Caenorhabditis elegans: one gene and its partner. The protein of the gene in region 1 interacts with the protein of each later gene in a pairwise test. Each region holds a gene or a part of one and is shown in the gene's direction. Other genes may lie near its edges.

Evidence for each region. The genes of interacting proteins can lie anywhere in the genome.
Region 2: the proteins of ftt-2 (region 1) and F08G2.5 interact in a two-hybrid assay, tested with the Caenorhabditis elegans proteins (one large-scale study listed by BioGRID).

What each region holds. Positions count from the first base shown.
Region 1 is NC_003284.9:11,603,173-11,607,159, reverse strand, and holds ftt-2 (14-3-3 domain-containing protein), read left to right. Parts: upstream 1-1,740; 5' UTR 1,741-1,779; coding exon 1,780-1,830; intron 1,831-1,879; coding exon 1,880-2,252; intron 2,253-2,527; coding exon of another isoform or gene 2,528-2,691; intron 2,692-2,719; coding exon 2,720-2,883; intron 2,884-2,948; coding exon 2,949-3,107; 3' UTR 3,108-3,452; downstream 3,453-3,987. UniProt on the Caenorhabditis elegans protein: Required for extension of lifespan by sir-2.1. Required to modulate lifespan, in concert with hcf-1, acting redundantly with 14-3-3-like protein par-5. Promotes nuclear export of yap-1.
Region 2 is NC_003280.10:13,832,548-13,835,171, reverse strand, and holds F08G2.5 (WW domain-containing protein), read left to right. Parts: upstream 1-1,540; coding exon 1,541-2,077; downstream 2,078-2,624. Other genes in the region: ins-37 (INSulin related), read left to right, coding at 1-60.

The sequences.
Region 1 (3,987 bases):
AAATATATTTAGAAACGTATTTTTCAAATTGAAGGTGGGTTCACTGGTTTTTGAATCTTTCCCGTAAGACAACAGTTCTCATTGATGAGTAAGAGTATACCTCACTGCACGGTGAAAGAAGATGTGGAATAGATAAGACGTAAATTGCGTTGAAGGTCTCTGTATAGTTGCGCACCACACCACGCATCTGTTGTTCCTAATTCTGTTTTGATAGAATGGGGTTTGAAAGGTTTCGGGATAGGAAGAATGAAGATGTACATGTACTTCCTCGAAAATCGGAAGTGAAGACAACAAAAATGAAGATCAAACAACAGTCGGATGTGTTCCGCGACACCAATTCTAATTGATATGGATGTTTGTACAAAATACCAGTTACAGTTTCAGAAACATCAGGAAAAATTACAGATACTATTGTAATAAACATTTTTGTAAAATTCTACATATGAATTAATGAAAAGAATGAATAGAACCTGGCCTTATATGTAGTTTAGAATTGTAAATTTATCATGCTAATTATTTTTCTGAATCTCCTTTGTAATTTAAGGCAAATACCAGGCACTTTCAAGTTAAGTAACACGATTATCAGCCTGTTTTGCCTGCATGTTTACGCGCCCTGCATATTCGATCCTAGGCTGTTGTGAAGCGAGAGCCAACCGCATCAGCTCCGAGCCTCCGAGCCCACCGCCGCTGGTCATTGATTTAGAACAAGTCTGCAGCGGTCGTCAAAGTAGCCCCCAAAGCGCTGCCGCATTGTTTGAATTTGCTCCAAGTTTCCAGAAACATCCAGGAACATGCAAGAATCATCATTTAACTTTGAAAACGGCAAGCTTCTGTAGTCACATTTTCAAATTTTCAGACCATACATTACTCAAGATAATTTGAAGGTAAATTATGGCCCAAAGAGTTATGGTGAGCGCTCTTTCTATTTGAATAACAGAGCGACTTCAAATGACGACCGAGCGCCTGGTGGGTGGGCAAAAGGCAGCCCCCTAGAAGCCTCCGCATGTCCGATGTTTTCGTCCTATTTTCTGCACAAAAATATTCAAAGTTCAAGATTTTAGGCCGAGTTTCTAGTCAACTAAAAGCCCGGAAAAAGACGAACCCGAATATCTAATTTTCATCTAATATATCTGAAATTATGTTGACTTCCTTCAAAGAAGAAATGTGGTGCGCGCTCTTGTTGACACATTGCGAAAGAGACCCTTTATGAGTCGTAGGAGGCGGCGGTTTTCTGTTGGCAGCCCCCTCGAATCACTCCGCAATTGTGTGTTTGTAGCGCGCCAAACGGCTCTTTTTAAACACAGATATCAAAACTTATATTTTCTTCACTTTAGCTGATGAAACAGACTTTCCCCTCTCAGAATATATAATTTTTATTCTGAAATTCGCAGTTTGAATGGTTTTTACAGACCCTAAAATGATGGTGCGCGCTCCTTTCGGCAGATAGGGAGAGACGCACAGAAAACGAGAGGGAGGGCTGGGAGGGGTGCCGCTCACTCTGTTCAACATTACTCGCTCGACAACGTCCTTCTCGTTTCTTCTTGATGCATTGTGTATACTTCTACAAGGGCTCATACGCCTCGTGTTAGAAGAGATGAAAATGTCCCATCAGTTTCATATCATATAAGAATACGGAAAGGAGCCATTCTTTGCTTTCTTCAAACAATCTTCATTTGTTTACCGCCCTCTTTCTTCTCTTTCTCATTTGACCTTTTTGTATCAAACTCTTTATATTCTCGTTTTTCAGTGACTCATCCACTTCAAGCAACTAAATCAACTATGTCTGACGGAAAGGAAGAGCTCGTGAACCGCGCCAAGCTTGCCGAGCAGGTATGTAGATGTCTCAGGATGTTCTTGAATACTAAAACTTTAATTTCAGGCTGAGCGTTACGACGACATGGCCGCATCCATGAAGAAGGTCACCGAGCTGGGAGCTGAGCTCTCCAACGAGGAGCGCAATCTTCTCTCCGTTGCCTACAAGAACGTCGTCGGAGCCCGTCGTTCTTCATGGAGAGTCATCTCTTCAATTGAGCAGAAGACCGAAGGATCTGAGAAGAAGCAACAAATGGCCAAGGAATACCGTGAGAAGGTTGAGAAGGAGCTCCGCGACATCTGCCAAGACGTTCTCAACTTGCTCGACAAGTTCCTCATTCCAAAGGCTGGAGCCGCCGAGTCCAAGGTCTTCTACCTCAAGATGAAGGGAGACTACTACCGTTACCTCGCTGAGGTCGCCTCCGGAGACGACAGAAACTGTAAGTGATTGAAAATGATGACTGTAATTGGGACATAACCGTGCACTCGTTTCTAACCCTCATTCGTAAGCTATGCATCCTTGTGTGAAGTGTGGAAAGATATCATAGGGAAGACAGAGAACGGGAGTTCAGGCGCGACCCAATTCCACATCGATGCGTAGTTTTTGAAAATAAACTCTAGGGCAGCTCATTGGGGGTTCTCCTCTAGGGAGTTCTGCCTCTCATAGTCATACTCGTTTCAAAGAAGACCAGAAATGAATATTCCTTCTTTGCAGCGGTTGTCGAGAAGTCGCAGCAAAGCTACCAAGAGGCGTTCGACATTGCCAAGGATAAGATGCAACCAACTCACCCAATCCGCCTGGGACTTGCTCTCAACTTCTCTGTCTTCTTCTATGAGATCTTGAACGCCCCGGACAAGGCTTGCCAGCTTGCCAAGCAGGTGTGTTAATGTTTTTATTTTATTTTAGCAGTAGCCAACATTGGACAAACGGCTTACGCGGAGGCACTTGAAATTGCAAATAAAGATCTGTCACCAACGAACTGTGTTCGCCTTGGTCTTGCACTCAATTATTCGGTGTTTTTTTATGAAGTAGCAGCAAGCCCGGATAGAGCATGCCAGCTTTCCAAGCAGGTGCTCGTTAAGTTTTTGACATAGCATCGTAACTTCAAAGCTATTGATTACCTTTAATCTTTCAGGCTTTCGATGACGCCATCGCTGAGCTCGACACCCTCAACGAGGACTCATACAAGGACTCTACCCTCATCATGCAGCTTCTCCGTGACAACTTGACTCTCTGGACCTCGGACGCTGCCACCGATGACACTGATGCCAACGAGACAGAGGGAGGCAACTAACTCCTTCACACCGACACGTTACCGCCACACACCCCTCACCTCGATCTTGAAAATGATAAATAATACTATTTGTCATATGATTTATTTATTACCATTGACTAGTTAAACCATCGTTTTTCTTTCCATTTTTTTCTATAAATTCATCAATCACTCCCCTTTTCCCATCAACCAAATGCAGAAGTTATTCAAATTTCTGTGCTGAGCCCACTCATCAAAACTTCCCGTCTCTACCCATACAATTCAATGTTCCGTTTTGTTACGGCTTTTCCCCCTTTCAAATCTCGACATTCGAAACACCCCCAAGCTTTTGAATACACATAATAAAGTTGTAACACCAACTTCAATATGAGAAATTAACGCAGATAATCACGTCGAAGAAATATTAAGAGGGGAGGATTCCGATTGACATCCAAATGTATAAAAATTAGTGCAATTGAACAAAGTTCGAATGAGAAAAGAAAACTGAAACGAACGTTTTCTTTTAGCGACATCTTGTTATTGCAGGTTGTTCTTCCTTAACCAAGATAACTACTACGTCTTAGGCACTTGCTAAGGTTCAATTCAAAATTTATTTCATTTATTATAGATATGAACAAAGATGAAAACTAGAATTTAATGTTCATATTCATTGAGGAATAAGAAAAGGTGGAGTCCTGGATTAAATCTCCGGTACATGACACTTTCATAGGTTTATTTCTAGTTAAATTGGCTTTACAGATATAGCAAAATTTTGGTTAGTGACATACTTGAAAACTACTTATTTGGACGGGTAGGTTTCATTTGCAACGCCAGGTGGCGGCGCCAGCTAACAACCAAAAAATTGGGGTTTTTACAGCCGATAATATAAGGAGTGGTAATTGGTACACTGGTAATTGAGATA
Region 2 (2,624 bases), on another chromosome or scaffold:
CCGGACAAGTTCAATCGAGTGCAAAACTATGCCTGTATTAATTGTGTAAAAATAAAGTAATGTATGTATAATATATGTGGATTTGAATTACTAGCGCAAAATTTTAACTGATTTCACAACTATTGCAAGTGCGCTCCATTGAAACGCCACTTATCAACACACCGTCGTCCACTTAACAGACCGTTGGTATATATACTCTGTTGATAGAAGGTTTTTTATCAGGCATAGGTCCGGAGTCGGTGGGTTATCTGAAGAAACCACCCCATCGGCAACAACTTGACTTCCTGTTTTGCATTGTTGGAATTTGGTGGGCAAGTTGATTAGAAAGAAACGTTTAATTTTAGTTAGGCATTTTTCAATTAAATTCGAAAAATAATAAAAATTACAGAAACAAAATAAGATTTCGTATATATAGGCTTGAAATGCAGATTTTTTAAAATAGATTTTTTCAAATCATTAGTCAATTTTTTACCCAAAAAATTACACCTTACATAAAGTTGTTTGACACAGTCTCCTAATTATCGAATTGCGGTGGAGCGCATTTTGTACACTACTAGAGACCCAGAGAAACCCACCACCATTCCTCGAGAAACGTCCACCGCTTGCATTGCCTCTAGTATATATACTTCCTCCTCCCCAACAGTTTTCGAATTCCTGCGGTCCGGATCGTATGGGTTATCAATTCTCAACCACCCCATACGAACTAACTTGACTACCGGAATTTTGCAATTTTTGATAAAAATTACTTGTTTTTGTAGTATGCAAATTAAATATAAAATTTATTATTATTTGTATTTTTTTAAAAATAAATTCGTGTGTCAATAATGAGTTTCTATTTTTGAAACTTTAAAGCACGACAAAGATGGGTCCTGCTGCGCAAAATACAATTTTAGGACGTTTTTTATATAAATTTATAGCATAAATTTTACTATAGAGATATAAGAGCTATGAATTCAAAAATGTTCTCCTTCTAGAGTTATGTAATTGCCCCAGTTTTGCCGGAAATTTCAATTCCGGCAATTTTACGATTTACCGGAAATTTCAATTCCGTCAATTTGCCGGTATGCCACAACTCCAATTCCGGCAATTTGATGATTTGTCGGAAATTTTAAATTTTGTCACTTTGCCGGTATGCCGAAAATGTCCAATTCCGGTAACTTTCAAGTTTGCCGGAAAATTTCAATTCCGCAATTTGCCGATTTGCCGGAAATTTTCAATTCCGGCAATTTTCCGATTTGCCGGAAAAAAAATTTGCAAAAAAATTTGCAAATTCCTTACTTTTTGACCTCTGAAAATTGCGGGAAACATAGACTTCTATGTACTTCCAGAAATGTTCTGTGTGACCCCAATTTTCGGAGATCAAACGGCAAGGAGTTCTCCTCAAATTTGGCAATACTACACACATATCGTCATCAATATTTGCCCACCTTATCAAAGTCATGACTAATTTCGAAACTCTTCGAAATAATTCGAAACTATTCGTCAACAAAACCCACCTATAAAACCAGCACCTCTCACCTTGAAGAGCATCTCATTTACAATGAGAAAGCTCAGCACTCGTCCACTTCCTCTTGGAGACGGATTCTTCGACTCGTCATCTGATAGTTCAGAATCTGAACTTTCAGATAAGGACGATGAAGATAGATATTCCGACTCCACGGTTTCCACGTTAACTTCTCAAGATCGTAGAGACACCCAAGGGTGTCAATATCCACGTTCTTCGGAACTTCCGATCTCTGAATCTCCAGCTCCACGAGCTCGACGAGCTCGTAAACAGAGATCGAAGAGAAAGTCGGTGAAACCTCCGAACACTTCGTCTGACGACTCTTCTGATGACTCTGATGATTCTTCCTCGTCCTCTTCTTCCGATGACTCGGTGAGTTCTAAATCATCAACCAATTCCAGTGACTCCTCGCCATGCCGTTGTCGAGATGGGCTTGCCGAGTGGGAGCAGCGTCATGGGAGACGATGGCATCCGTATGGAAGAAATGGAACGTGGGAACCATACCGCAATCGTCGTCGCGGGATCTATGATTGTGAGAACTCGCCGAGAGAAACTTATTCGAATGGAGCTTGAATTTTTAAATGTAAATATTTGTTTTTAGTTTAATTGTATTCTATTTCATTTTTGGTATCCTATATCTTGGTTTAAATAAGTGATATCGAAAAGTGTTCAACTACAAAATTATTGAAAAAGGCATCAGCAATATTTTGTTTGTTGGTAGTTTTTCGATAAATCTTAAAACAACCGGGATATGACCATTTAAGTGTGTTGTCTATTTATTGTTGTGTAAAAATAAATAATTTGTATTTTTCGAATTTGTGTTTTGTTCTTTATTATTAAATTAAAAAACCAAATAATAAGAAAGAGGTCATATAAAACTGTTGCCGGAATTAAAATTTCCGGCAAATCGGAAAATTGCGGGAATTGAAACTTCCGACAAATTGGAAAATTGCCTGAATTGAAATTTCTGGCAAATCGGCAAAATTGCCGGAGGATTGAAATTTCCGACTAATCAGAAAATTGCCGGAATTGAAATTTCCGGAAAATCGGTGAACCGGCAAAATTGAAAATTTCTGACAAATCGCCAAATTGCCGGAATTGAAATTTCCGGAAAATCGGT